Oryzias latipes: one gene and its partner. The main gene of each other region encodes a partner of the protein of the gene in region 2 in a complex. Links are inferred from orthologs where the notes say so. Each region holds a gene or a part of one and is shown on either strand. Other genes may lie near its edges.

Region 1 (7,431 bases), on a different chromosome or scaffold from region 2:
TCATGCACCTTAAAAGATATTCTGTTGTGGTGAGTCTGAGAGTGACTATAATTTCTAAAACCACATATTTATTTCTTGATGGAGGGGACAATCTCCATGTGATAATGTCAGATATCAACACTTCAAAGGACTATTTGTGGAAATCTAAATCACTTATTTATTATAAGTTTAATTACTATACCATCGTATTGACAATTATCGACACAAATTTATTTAAACATAATATATATTTGAGTCACAGAAATGTTGCAATAAACCTACACTAATGGGTGTTCCGTCTGACTCTAAAGCCAGAGATGATGAATGTAGTCTTGGTGAATTGTTATGAAGTGGTCATCTGTTTTAGCTCTGTATTTTAGTCGAGTATATTAAATTATAATTTTTATCATCATTTTAGGCACAAAGGGGTATGTTTTTAAGAAAAAAATGCTCCAAAATTTTTTTGAATATACATGGACGCTCTACCAGCTTTATTTTAGTCTTTTTTTTTTTTTATAACCACAGAGGTATGATATTTCAAGTTAAATCACATAGGATGATTTTCTCTTTACAGCAGAATTTCCTTTTCAGCTTTATTTTTTTTTCAAATAAGGTATGAAATGAATGCTAATCCAAAATAAATATATAGATATGCCTAAATATTTTAGTAAAGAACTGAGCTATTTATTTGATACAACTTCACAAGAATTCTTTTTTATGGGACTTTTTTCAATCTTTATTTATGTTTGCTTTTTCTTTTTCCATTTCAGCAATGCAGGAAGCTGACAGTAAAGCTGCTTGATCTAGTAAATGGTAATAAACACTACTGTTGTAAAAGGACAGAAAACAATAATATTGGGGGGAAAAAAGAGATGTAATGGAAAAATTAGCGCATCATCTATATCCATTTTGTGAGGTTAATTTTATCGCCACTTTAACTCGCTCTCAATCATTTCTGTTCATAAAGGTTTTTATTTAATATAGACTAAAATGTCATGCTTATGTTCCAGTCTATAAGCTTGTGTTTTGGGTGATTTCTAAAGCAGTGGAACCTATAAACCCACTCTTGATGTCAGGGTTAAAGCTAAAGGTAGGTTTTGTGGCTACACAAAGGCAAGCGCGACAAGCGTCTTCCTCAAAGCAGCCTTCCCGCAATTTTCGTCTGCCCTCATACCAAATGTGAGACTGAGACTTCCAAAATGGCGACTGTTTGAATGTGCAAAGAAAGGAATCCAATGAACGCAAGCAAAGGGAGTCGTGGTCGTGAAAGAGGAAAAACTCGACAGTCCTGCACTTGAGGGCTAAGGCGATACCATGCACCAAATTCATGCAAAAATATAAACTTGCAAAAACTAGAGAATACGTGTATATTCCTTTAGAATGGTTTGGAGACATTATTGCAGTAATATTACTCTATACTAAGGAATGCAACTGCACACATGCACAGAAGATGTTTTTAAAAATGAAAAGAGTATATATATATATATATATATATATATATATATATATATATATATATATATATATATATATATATATATATATATATATATAAAATGAAATATATAAACATATATATTTATTTAGAATGCTATGCACCCTTACTTGTCAAATGGGATTCTAGTTATGTTATGGATGTACTTTTAGCATCATACAGCTGTAGCTACCAAGAGACTGTTGAGTTCTGGGTAATGCCTGCAACACTGGGACAAATAGGGGTATTGTGGGTATTTTAACTAGTTTTGCTTCCTTTTTTTATTTTCATGGAGAGTCAAAGATGGATTTAAAATGTACTTGTAAAATCCTTTTAATCCAATCAAAATACAAGGACATCTATTGACAATTTACTCTGTACACCAGCTCAACATTTACAAAATTAATAAAGAAATGAAATGTCTTTGTGTATGGTGAGTTTGCTTTTGTTTAAGGTACTCCATGACACATCAATTAAGCAATGATCTTAACATGTATGCAATGAGCTTTGTATGTTTCCACAACTGAAAATCACAAACAATTCTATCTTATCAGACTAAATAACTAACCAATTTAAACATTTTTTCCCAAAAATAATCTGCAAAACACATTCAGGTGCATAAGATTTTTAGAGGTGCACAAAACAAAATCTTCTAGGTTTCAAACTATTGGAAATGCCAAGGTATCTCCTTTTTTGTTAAGTGCAAGCACTAAAATATCATGTTTAAACTAAACTACTAACAGATTTTACGCTGCTAATCAGCCTAAATATTTATTCTAGTCTATATTTATTCTGGATTGCTGAACTCTGTATGTTGTAGGGCCATGAGGGAGAAGCACCCAGCTTGATTCACAACTTGTTTATAGAAACCAAGATGAACCTCGTACAAGTTCACAAAAATGACTAGAGTCCTAACTAATCCACACTAAATGTGCGCAATTTGCTGTAAAAGTGAATATGTTTTTTTTGTTTTTATAGATCCCTTTGGATTGAAACTACAAAATCAATTCTACATTTGATTATTTTTTTAACGCTGGTGCAGTAGCGCCAGTCACCAGTAGAGGGCGTAGACGTTTTCTGGATAGCATTTTTCCCTGCAGTCATCTGTCTGTCTACCTTGCCTGTCTGTTGTTTTGTATGCATGTGGAAGTGGAGGAGCGTGTGTCCTGAGGTTCTTTTAACAAAGATTATCGACACCTCCTGTTTGTGAGAGCGCGTGTGGTGATAATTTGCACTTATGAAAAAGAGGTATTTATTTTTATTTATCAAAGGCAGCCGTTCTTTTGAGCCAAATAACTATCTGGCTTTGCCCTGGGACGCCCAGAATTTCTTTTCGTGGCATATTATTTAGTTAGATAGTTTTAGTACAAGAGTCCTAAGAAAAGATGTCCACCGAATGCCAGAAAACAACTGCTAAGGCCATTCCGTCCACAAAGAGAGTAACCATCAACAACGCTGATCACATGCCCCACGACTACTCCACTACCCCCGGAGGGACCCTGTTCAGCACCACACCGGGTGGTATGTATAGAAATTTCAAGTCTTTTTCCAACACAAAACACGCATGTGCGAAGATTTACTCAGATTCACGCCACATGGGACCCACATCCTTTTAGATCATCGCTACTGTACAGCCAGCTGATAGCTTGCAGTTAAGCTAGCTGCTAATGCTAGCTAGCGGGTGTTTATTTTAAGCTAGTTTAAAGTAACTCAGTCGTATGCATTTTAAAAATTTGACATATTGTTACATATCTTTATTCTGCTCAAATTGTCTGCTTGTGTTTGAAGTGTTTATCTTGGGTTTCTTGCTTTCTTTTAGCTCTGGCTGTACTTGTTGCTAAAGCTGGACAGAATAGCATGTGGGCGGAGCTTAAGATGTGAAGGGATTTACGGGTCAGGGGTGGGCCTCGGCCTTAGAGGGGCAGGATTTATAAAAACACGAGCTGGAAGGGGTGGGCTTAAACATCAGACTCCGCCCTTCCAAACCTTGTACTGTTACACGTAAATGTAATAATATTTTCCACAGTTCATTGAAGGTGTAACTTTTATACAAAACCAACATGATATTCCACCAGCAACAAGCCTCTCAAAACTATTTATCTGTCATTCTTTACATATATTTATTTTTTATAATCCCACTGGCTGTTTATTATTGTCTCTGTATTGTACACTGTGTACTACATTGGTACACAGATGACCTGATCCCAATGGCGATATGATGTACACATTACATCTGAACCATTAGAGTCGGATCCTGAAATACTTAAATTAAATGTGTCCAAACCAAGATTCCAGATTTTAATGTTGATCTTAAAAGTCATATTTTAACACTTCAAAGCATTTATGTATGTACTTAAAATAATTGCTTTATTTGTTCAAAACGACGGAAGTAAATGGGTCATGTTGTGTTTTCTTTCTCGTTTGGTAAAACTACAGGGTTCACACTGTGTGGCAGCACATTGCATGCTATTTCTAAAGAACAGGGGAGCATGTGCATCAGGTTAATAATTGCTGGAAATAAGCGGTAGCTCCGTTTTTGTGTTGCTTGAGAAAGGTGTCCACCTGAGTGGGGTGGTTGAAGTAAATGGAAGTAAAATTATTTGAAATGTTATTTTTAATCATTTGCATTGATATACACACTAGTTTAATGATTTTTACTGCCTTTTTATGTGGAATTCCTTAGAGATGTGAGCCAAAAAAAAGCATTTTTCTGATAAATCAGTCTTGATCGTCTAACCTGAATACACCTGAAATTATGTTAGCTTTTTTAAACTGCTGGGTGCACTTTTGATCTAGCTTAATGATTATCAGTTGTCTTTTGTGTTCTATGTTTCACTTAACTTATTCATTCCAAAGCCATTTTTCTGGAAAAGCGGACAATTGAAAAAATGTTCTGACGCACAAAGCGTTTCTGCACAAACAGGTACTCGGATCATCTACGACCGGAAGTTCTTGCTGGAGTGTCGGAGCTCTCCTTTGGCAAAGACTCCTCCACGAGGCCTTCCCAGCATTCCAGGGGTGACCAGTCCTCCAACCAAAGAGTTCAACAAGAAGACCCTTAATGGAGAAGTAGTGAACATAGACACGCCTGCGGCTGACAGTAGCAGTGCAGGTATGTTCACAAATCATAGTCTGACCAAAGTATTTAAAAGAGTCAAATTTGGCATTTTGCTCCAGCATAGTGTTGTGTATAACATTTAATGAATCCATCCACAATAGGTAGAACATGGAGTTATTTTAGGCCAAATGCATGTAGTGGTGCAATTTCCAGTGTAATAAAGTTTCTTGTCTGCTTGTAAAAGAAAAAAAAACTTAGTCTTGCAATATAGCATACATAATTAGATGTATTCTAGTTGGGGTTTTTCTACTAAATGTAGAATTTGGTAGCTAAATGCTTAAAGAAGAATAAGCAAGTTGATGCACCTTAATCTTGAAGCAAGATTGTTTATTTTGACTGAAAACATTGTCTGTCAACGTCCTTGTTGCCTCCTGAATTTTAGAAAGTTAAAGTATAATTTTTGTGTGCTTTTTCTAGGTGACGATGCGCAGTTTGAAATGGATATATAGGTGGATCCAATGCTGTGAATGGAGTATCTGGAACGTCTCCTCTTATCCCATCATCATTTCTTTGGAGGAAAAGTGATCTCTTTTAGAATCTGGGTTAAAAATGTCTGTCTTTGATACTCATATTAATGCCTGAAGATCACAAGCCTTTTTTTTTATTCTATTCAAGGTCTAAAACCTATTTGCTGATGATAAAGTGTGCCTTCATGTAGTGGCATCAAACGGAACACAGACACCAACAATGCCTCATCAGTCAGCAGCAAGAAAGTTTAGACATAAAGAGCTCATTTTCATCAGATCAGGAGTGTTCCAGAAGTTGTTTTTTTCACTTAATGCCACCTGTCTTCAAATACTGCCTTTACATGTTCAAACTGTGGAATTTGTAAGTCATGTTCCAACGTGGAAATCCTCCACCTGAAGTGTTGCACAAGAATTGAAAGTTGAATTTTTGATTACATTTTGAAGTTTCACATGGTTTGTAAGGGGGTTAAAAAAATAAACCAAACACCATGAAATGAAGAGGCTTTTTGTCTTAATGGTTTCAATTTTGATCCTAATTTATTTGAATAATTTCTGCATTTTCTGCAAACTTCTATTGGACAGTTTTGTTAAAGTGATAAAAACACCTGAAACCTGATAAACGAAGAGTTAAGATGTATGTCAGAGAGAGAAATCTTTGGCTGCTGCTGGTTCTGGTTAAGGTAACGCTCGTGTCCGAGTCTTTTCAGAGGAACGCCTGGAGGAGCTCACTGACAGCTGATAACCTCAGGGGACTCCACAAAGAAGGGTCAATATACAACAGTACATTTCTGAGAGAAACTCCCCAACTCCACCCAACATAAAAGCCTGAAGTCTTGATGATGCATCCATAAGCCTTTTTATTAAAAACCATTAAGAGAAGATGAACAAACAGCCTTCATCCGAGCTGAGCGGTGTGTTGAGGTGGTTTCTCTCTAAGCTGCGAACGTTCAGCTGTGATTTTAGTGGAGATAATGAGTAAAAACAAGACTAGAAGCTTGGATTCATAACATAAAATGAGTCACAAGTTTGAATTTGTGAACTGTAGTTTTGCTGAAGAAAGATGTTTAAAAACCTGAGTGAAATAGATTTTTATTTTTCAATGTTACAGTTAAAATGAACTAAGTGCTTCCTCGTCCGTGCAACACTCACACCTTAGGCTTAATCCATAAAAAAACTGCAAATAATATATATAAAAATGCATCATCCAGTAACTAAAATAGACATTTAAAATTCATTTGTTTCTAAATAAAAGTGCATTTGTTGTTTAAAAAAATGCATAGCCGTTCAATGTGTTAACATTTTCAAAACCAGGAAAAATAAATACAAAAAAACACACAGAATTGCACAATTGAAGCCGTCTCATATGAGGTCCAAGTTTGATGTTTTAACCTGAACCTCTTCTATTAGACGGCTTAAATAGTGAAATCATTAAAAAGTGACGACGACCAGGATCAAGGTCCCACTGTCACAGATAGGTTGCACACTTTCTGAGTAGCAGCTTCTGCGTCCCTCCATTCCTCCACATTGTCGTGTTTGTTTGCGTCACCTCTGCTTCCTGACACTCCACACCCCCTTTTCCCAAGATAAACAAGAACTACTGCTTTTTTCTTTCTCTGTGGTTTTTGTTGTCCCACTCGGCAGGGCTGTCGATCCCAATAAACAAAAGAAACCAGGCCAGGGAGGACCAGTTAATGACCGCTGATGTATTTACTGCAGTGCACTCAAGATGTGGATTGGTGAGGTGAGAAAGGTAAATACAGAGAGTTTTTATTAGGTCAGGCTAGTGGGGGTCCAGATCCTGCAAACAGAGTGAGCCTCTGATGAAGCTATTTGTTCATCTAAATAGATTTGTGAATGAAACGTAATATGTCGTTTTTAATGTACTAATCTAACGGCTCCTAAAAGGATTATGGATTAGTTATGATTCTGGAACTTTTAAGTTAAAAAATAAATTTATTTCAGCTCAACACAAACTTAAACATGTAAATATTTCACAGCTTTAAGAAATTTATTTAAAAAAACATATATTTCATATTATATGAACAAAAATATACATGCTTCTGTATAAATAGACCTTAAAACATTTACATAATGACATCAACAATGAAACGCTATATTTCACATCTTTGAAAGGTTTGATTTATGTTTTAGGAGGAAACTGGAAGCAGGGACTTCTGAAGTTTTACATTTTAAAATGTAATAACGCTAGAGCCTGTTTGGCAGAAATCTCAGGGTCCTTCAGTGGCAGCCACATTCCTCGACGATCATGTCCTCGTGATGCCGCAGGGTCAAATCATCGTTCTCGTAGTACAGCATTGAGAGAGGGCTCAGATGGGTTGGCACACAGGAGGGGCAAGACGCTCTCGTAGGGTGGTGGTGTCGCAGGAGGCTCT
Region 2 (7,327 bases):
GTCATAGATCTTTGATGACTCGTGCACCATGAAAGCTTTCTCCAGTGTTTCATTTAACCCTTGTGCTATCTTAGATGACCCCACCCTTACATTGACGTGTTCTCCCTACCATGACAAAGGTGGAAAGATTTCATGTAATCCATGGACACCAGTGAAGATCACAAATCATTGAAGACAAAAGGTTCAGCGCACTGTCTAGTGGGTCTAGATGACCCAACTCCCAATGTTAAAGTGCCTAGGATAGCACAAGGGTTACGAGAAAGAGAACTTTTGAATTGAAGCAGCTGCCATTGGTTTTTGTTCAGAATCACATGGTCTTCGAGATGAGCCGAGCAGTGCAGATGCTCCTCCACTGGTGATGCTTCAGTGAAACACTGCAGCTCCAACAGGCAGGCACTATTTTCTGTTCAAAGAACAAACCAGTCAAGTTTTAGCAGCAGCTGCATGTTCTCCATTTATTGCTGTTCTCCATCACAAGTACACCCAACTGTGTTCACTTTACTTTAGACAAACATCTGCTTCCTTTAATCCAACCCCAAATCTGGACTAGCTGTTTCTGCAAAATATAATTGCTTATATTCCAAACAAACGCTGTCCAGAACAAGATGCTGGACGTGGTTTAGTTTCTTCCACCGAAAAAAGAGTTGAGGTCTTCTTCAGGACGCCTTGACGTGTTTGCAGATGCACCCTAACCTGCAGAATGGACATCCGGTGCGTGTTGGCCCTGAGGCCAGGCACAGTGATTAAGGCAGCTTGGCAGTTCATTCTGAAGATGGGGCTCTTTCAACCTTCTCAGCTAAATGGGATGGTCTTCTGTCGTAGGACTCAACTTCCATGTCACCACGGAGAGTCGCTGACGAGTCAACTGAGTGATCGTGGAGTGGACTTCATCGACAAATACATTTTACACAATAATAGCATCTGCTCTGTTTGAAACTGAAGAGGTAATTATTAAAATACATCACTGTAATAAAATATCATCTTCCATTAACCCTGTTTGAGCCCCAATAAAACTGACCAACTTTTAACAGTGGATGTGAGGCTGTGCTGAACAATAAAATCATGTAAAGTTTTATATCGGACTGATTTTGTGGTGTTTTGTCAACAGCAAATGACCAAATTCTGTAACGCAGCCTCCTTCTGATAACAAGTCAACAGATGTTCCAACTTTGCTATAAAATGAGGCTGTTTCTTCCCCCCTCTCTGGTTGATTTCAAGTATGTCTTTGGCTTGGTGCTGACAGTTCGCTCTGCTCTCTTCCAATTTGACCCAACAGGGGGATTGATCCTTGGGGCCTCTGCTCCTGACACGTCTTCCTGTTACACAGTGCCGGTCCACACAGAGGTTTTCCTTCCCCGGATCCAGGTGCCCCTCCACACGTCACAGAAACACACAAACCTATTGCGAGAAAAACAGAAACATGAGGAAGAGGTGGAAAAAACAAACAAATAGGAGAAACAGCCATTAGGTAGGACCAAACGGCGCCAGCTCTTACTCTTGGCAGAGTGTTCCTGTGCGAGAGGCTAACGCCCGCCACTAGCATTCACCAGCCCATGGAAGTCTTCCCAGGCTCTGCAGACACAGGAACATACAGAGCATCATCATTCAGTATTAAATAGTTTCCATCAATATTAACCAGGCTGCAAAAGTTTGACATAAACCTTCAGAATTGCGACATGTGACAAAGCATCTGTCGTTCTGCAACGACTTTTTCCTGGAGAGATTCATTCCTTTAATCGCCCTTAGGCCTGCACCACGTTACCGCAGTATCAAGCTGTGCAATAATCATATCGCAAAAGACGGCAAAAATAGCGAAAAATGGTTACCTTAAATGTGCTAAAACAATCTTATGGCAGCTTGAAGTATTTAACCAATCAAATAGATCATTTTATGCATTTGACCAATCGGATTGAACCCTTCACGTTGTTGACCAACCGGATGGACCCCTTTCATGTTAGAGGCTCACCTCCTAAGTAGACGAGGGTCATTTGGAGTTTAATTTCAGGTATGTTGACTCTTATTTAAATTAAACTTTTGCAATGAAAAGGATATTGTGTTATTGGTTGTTTTGCTATTTGTTCATGTATCGCTAGTTACATTATAATCAGAATATTGATCACTAATATTGCGAGTTTTCCTTAAATAGTGCAGCCCTAATTCCCCTTGATGCCTATTGAGAGAACGATGCATCAAACCACTTTGGCTCCAAAATTACCTAAATTTAGCATCTATTTGAAGGCAAAAAATTAGGATTTTTTTTAAAAGCTGGAAATACATTCAGTGTAGAGGGGTTAAGGGAGGAGGATGGTTCTATGACAGCAAGACATCACACCACGATTTAAAGAAATTTATTCTAAGCATTAAAACTATAACTGATGTGCACAATTTCACTCTCAACAGGTTCCTGGTGAAAAAGGTTTATCAAATCACAAAATATGACTTTTTTTTTTAAAGCAAAAGATGGAGAGAAAATAGTAAACTGAGGAGACATACATACTTAATGCTGTCTGTGTGTGTCTTGTACTCCATGATTGTGTTGGGGGGCAGGTTGAGGACTCGGCGCAGGGTGTCTCTAATGCGGGCGGTGGTACCCTGGTCACTGGCGGTTTTATTCCAAATGGAAATGATGTCCTCCTGAAAGAAAGAAATAAAAATGGCACATCTGAGGCCTGGATAGTTAACCCTTTGGCACTGGAGCTGTTACTAACGTAAAGGGTTCCAAAATGGCGGAAAGCTGCTTTTCTCCGTCACAGAATCAGCTGATTTACGTTAATTGCGTTACAGTAGTCAAAAGAATGTAAACACTGCAGGTAAGGCATTTTCACTAAAAGCATTTAAAACTCAATTACAGTAATTATTGTCTTTGTGGAACAAAAACAACAACAACACAAAAAGAAGATAACTACGCCCTGTAAACACTTATTTACTGTCACTGTTGTACAAATGCTGTTGTAGAGCATTAGGCCTCGCTGGTGTGAGTTTTTACCTGAAAACGGACGGACACCACAGCTCCACATATTTCCTCTCCCACCATGAACTGCTCCCCCAGCATGGCCAGGATCAGGTTCTCCCAGCACCGGGACGCAAGGCCTTTTCTTAAGCGAATAATCCACTTCCCGCCCATTTTATTGGCATCATCCTAATCAGAGTTTCAAAGCAAAAACATCACTAAAGTATCCAAACACATTCCTTAAAAAGGTCATTAAAACGTGTAGCAAGTGTACACACCTCCCACATGGGCTTAATTCCTTCTTTAAACAGGTGGAAGTCACTGTGACCGGTTAGGTCGCCAGGCCGGATCATGTGACTATAGAAACGCCAGAACTGTTCCACCTGAAAAAGATCAGAGCGTTCATGGTTGTGATAGTTTGCTGCAGCACAGCCAGTGAGCAATGGCATCATTTGGCTCAGATGTGAAGAGCGTCACAGAGATGACAAACCGAGGCAAAGCTGCCGATCTGTTTAATGTTCTGTTCGTAGCTCTGGGTGCTTGCTGGTCGCCCTGGCGTGCGCCTGGAGTACCAGAAAGTGTAGTTGTACTGAAGAGGATGCTCTCCTGCTCCTGGAACCACCATCTGCAAAAGAAACGAGGAAGCTCTAGTAGGTGCCTTCAGGAATTCAGGCCGCTCTATCATGCAAACACTGAAATCTCCTAACTCACTTTTTTCTTAGTTGTGTTCTGCTCCTTTTCGTCGTCCTCAATCTTTATCGTTTCGCTATCTTTCGGTGAGCTTTGGTCCTGGTCGTGATCTCCACTGTCATCGTCTTTCAGACTGGAAACGAAAAGTTAGTTAAATTCAAAAACGATCCATCCAATGATCTTCACTTCCCTAATTCGCTGGAAAATCTAAAAAGGTGCAATGTGTTTAAATGACTAACAATGATGATATAAACCAAACTCGAGTCCATCATGAAAAATAAAAGCTGCTTAAAGGATAAAAACAGGAAAAACAAAAAGTCCATTCGTTTAAGCATGCAGTCATTACCGGGTTGCTGTTGGCTAAACTAGCCGATTAACTGGAATGTTCTTCACTTTGTATTTAATGTTGGATATTTTAACAGAAAAACGGCATCAATTTATGCACACAAATACACCAGCGTAAATATGCTAACACTACATTTGCTTTAAATCACCGTTTGATCCGTCTTCCCGTTCACAGTTTACACCGTGACTGCACACACCCTCTCCGGGCCTCTGCCCTACCACTACACCGGGGATTCGAGGCCTACCCGTCTTCCGTTTTGCTAAGCTATTGCTAGCAGCCTGGCTACACTACTCAACATAAACGCCCATAAATGTAATGCTGCTGTTCCATATGCAGTTAAAGTACACACCGGTATGACTTTCGCTGATATGCGGGTTAATAACAGATCTATCACTGCATCGTGCTGATAAAATGGACACACCTTTCGTTGAATGCGTAACGCATGATTCTTGATTCCCCGTTTCCAGACAGTGAACCGTTTTCGATCGAAGTTCTAACGCAAAAGAGCTGCTACTCACGCATCGAATTTGTTGTTCATTCTGTCCTGGCTGAGACTCGTCAGGAATCCGATCACAGCCTCCTGGAAATCGCAGGAACGGCGACGCGCAATAGAAGCACGTGGGCGCGCATGCGGTATGTTGGTCGCGGTGATGAGCTGAAGGGGTCAAGGGTGACAGTGGCACCTCTCTTCAAACATTCACAGGGTCTCTATTCAAATGTATGTGATAGAATTAACCCAAGCCCCATGAGGGTAAAATGATCCAACTTGTGTTTTAACATTTATTTATTGCACCGTACCTAATAACATGCATCATAAATACAAAACGGACAACAAAAAAACAAACATAACATAGTACCATTTTGATCAGTTGATCACTTTCAGCCCCAGTGACTGAGCAGAAACTCAGACATGGCTACCATAAGGCACACATCACTGCACATGCTCAGCCTCAATAGAGAGAACTGGCGGCTTCATCAGATGATCTGCCTCTCTCTGATGTGCCGCACTCCCCTTTTCATCCCTTCGCTTGTCACTCGTTCTCTCGGCATCTTCAAACGCTGGCTCTGTTCAGCTCCAAGCGGAGCTGTGGACCTAGTCTGGGAAACAGGATAGGAGCTGGAGACTATGTGTCTTTGGGTCAGCTTGACATTGGTGTTGGTTTCTGCTATGGGACTATAACAGAAGTCTGAGTTTTAAAAGCACACGAGGCGAAGGATGCACAGAAAGCTTATGGATAGTATGGCATGCTATGGCGTGGTGTGGCTCGGTTGGCTCTCCTGTTCCAGACCATCCCCTCACCCCTTGCCCTCTGGGTTTCTGTGAGGACCTTCATGAGAGGACTCTTTGTTTTGTGCCGGCAGGCGCTGCACTGAGTGAATGAGAAAGAGCAGAGGCGGCCTTCTTCAGTAGTGGCTGTTTGTTTACACCAGCCGGTCCCGTCATACTTCATTAGCAGCCCATCCCACCAACAAACTTTTCAGAATCGCTGACAAGTGCCTTGTTGCGCAGAAATGCAGAGTGTCAGCAGTGTTTCCGACTCCCTTCTCAGTCACTCATAATACATATATGCACCAACACTGACGTCATGGCTTTTGTGGCGAGGCTGGGTGACGGGACTGGGTTGTTTCATCGCTGGCCAAGAGGCACAGGGAGGCGATCTGATCTCACTGGAGCTGCATCCCATTGGCACAGCTAGCTTTGCATCACAGAGATGCGAGAGACCTGCCATTCAAACAGAAACGAAAGAAAGGGATTATTCAGTGCTGCCATCTTCTGACGGCTATAAAAATCCAAAACACAAGCAGCTTGTGTAAAATAACCGTTACATGATGTATAAATACATATATGCTTTCTTCTAAGTTGTAGATCGGTTTTAAAAATTGTGTAAAACTACCAATAATTAATAGCAGCAATAAAGATGCAGAAATTAACTTTAAATAAAAACAAATCAAAAGACCAACCTCCTGAATGGATCTCTGGAGTTTTTCTTGACTTTTCACCACCTTCCTAAAAAGAGTCAAATCAGTTTTGGAAGTTACACAATAATCCAGCTAAAATAAATGAGTGATCCCTCTATATTGAGCCTCACCCTTCATGGTCTCGCTGTTTTACAGATTTTTTTAATGCAGTTGTTTACGCTTTTTCCTTTTTACATTGCATTGTGTTCTGCGACCTGATTGGCTGTAGACCTTGTCTATCAATCTTCCCCATGCCATGTCTCCAGTACAGACTGCCTTCAGATGCAAGATTCACATAAATCTTCGACCTCTAGCAGATCTTTGTTTACATTCTATAATACTGGACTTATTTTCCGACAAAGGTTTGAATTTTAAGTGTATTCTTACCCAAGTCAACTGTGTGTAAATGTTAATAAGGTGTGTAGTAAGGAGTTTTAAAGCCATAAAACATTTATAATTGTTGTAAAACATAAAGATGAGGGACCACTTTAGTCCTAATACAGTCTATTCAATTATACTATACGATATAATTCGAAGAACTTTGAAAATTGAAGGCCAACCTGTGTACTCTGTGAGCCAAACTGAGGGTGAAGTCTGCCGAACAATCGGGTTCATAGGTGGATGGCACTAAGGTGTAATAACCAGGAGGGAGGGAACAGTCCAGACTGATGGCCTGTGTGTAACAGTGAGGGAGGCAACTGGCCACAGGATCCTCTTCCTTCAACATCTGCTCACATCCCCCTTCTGGTACCTGTGTACAGACAAACATAACTCAAATTCTTCCTTTCTGATCCACCCTGACGCACTCTTTTAATGCTAAACTGACCTTATAAACGTGGAAGCCGATAGGGAGCAGGTCGGTGTCAGGCCGGCTCTGGTGCAGTGTAATCCTTACATTGACCCCTGGTTTTACCGTCGGCTCAGCACGCACCGTAAAAGGGAAGCACGGGTTCTGCCTGTGAGAGAGGAAGTTTCTGCTTCCTCCGGCCGTACTTCCAGTCACCCACGAGCCCTGGAAGTAAGTGGTCTCCCACTCACTGTCTGTCAATAAAGGCAGTGATCGAGCTGGGGTCTTCAGGGCACTAAAGAGGAGGAGAGATCTGTTAGGTCCTGTGTGTTAGAAAAGTATCATCCATAAAAAAAAAACTTTCACTGATGATGAGAGATTCTTACGTGAAGGATGTGGAAGAGGAGGAGAACACCCGCATAAGAAAGTGGGCCTCAGCTCCTGGCTGGTAGGTGCTGGGAATAAGAAGGTAGTAACCAGGCTCTAGCAGGTCACGGAGGACCACCTCTCTGTCATGGGCATGGCAGTGAGTAGAAACACAGGGAGGTTTGTTCAACAACCGGCTCAGATTCAAATGCTTCTTTTCCACCTGAGG

Evidence for each region. The genes of interacting proteins can lie anywhere in the genome.
Region 1: the proteins of eif4e2 (region 2) and eif4ebp1 are in contact, whole or in part, in a crystal structure (PDB 5NVN), measured with the Homo sapiens proteins. The link is inferred for Oryzias latipes from reciprocal best matches to the Homo sapiens genes EIF4E2 and EIF4EBP1. Residues at the interface, in NP_004837.1 of Homo sapiens: Glu53, His54, Pro55, Leu56, Gln57, Tyr58, Tyr64, Arg66, Lys83, Gln84, Ile85, Gly86, Val91, Glu92, Gln93, Trp95, Arg96, Phe97, Ser99, His100, Met101, Val102, Leu107, Phe113, Glu149, Asn150, Leu153, Gly157, Glu158, Gln159; in NP_004086.1 of Homo sapiens: Arg51, Ile52, Ile53, Tyr54, Asp55, Arg56, Phe58, Leu59, Met60, Cys62, Arg63, Ser65, Val67, Thr68, Lys69, Thr70, Pro71, Pro72, Asp74, Leu75, Pro76, Ile78, Pro79, Gly80, Val81, Thr82, Ser83.

The regions. Positions count from the first base shown.
Region 1 is NC_019867.2:12,546,697-12,554,127, forward strand, and holds eif4ebp1 (eukaryotic translation initiation factor 4E-binding protein 1), read left to right. Parts: upstream 1-2,530; 5' UTR 2,531-2,838; coding exon 2,839-2,974; intron 2,975-4,376; coding exon 4,377-4,565; intron 4,566-4,988; coding exon 4,989-5,020; 3' UTR 5,021-5,536; downstream 5,537-7,431. Other genes in the region: nodal homolog, read right to left, coding at 7,277-7,429. UniProt on the Homo sapiens protein: Repressor of translation initiation that regulates EIF4E activity by preventing its assembly into the eIF4F complex: hypophosphorylated form competes with EIF4G1/EIF4G3 and strongly binds to EIF4E, leading to repress translation.
Region 2 is NC_019875.2:23,171,399-23,178,725, reverse strand, and holds eif4e2 (eukaryotic translation initiation factor 4E type 2), read right to left. Parts: upstream 4,554-7,327; 5' UTR 4,525-4,553; coding exon of another isoform or gene 4,505-4,524; 5' UTR 4,431-4,504; coding exon 4,408-4,430; intron 4,251-4,407; exon of another isoform or gene 4,135-4,250; intron 3,774-4,134; coding exon 3,662-3,773; intron 3,576-3,661; coding exon 3,441-3,575; intron 3,334-3,440; coding exon 3,229-3,333; intron 3,140-3,228; coding exon 2,987-3,139; intron 2,635-2,986; coding exon 2,498-2,634; coding exon of another isoform or gene 2,494-2,497; intron 1,573-2,493; coding exon 1,524-1,572; 3' UTR 1,496-1,523; intron 1,399-1,495; 3' UTR 429-1,398; downstream 1-428. Other genes in the region: capn10 (calpain-10), read right to left, coding at 5,680-5,709, 5,949-5,994, 6,506-6,696, 6,772-7,027, 7,119-7,321. UniProt on the Homo sapiens protein: Recognizes and binds the 7-methylguanosine-containing mRNA cap during an early step in the initiation. Acts as a repressor of translation initiation.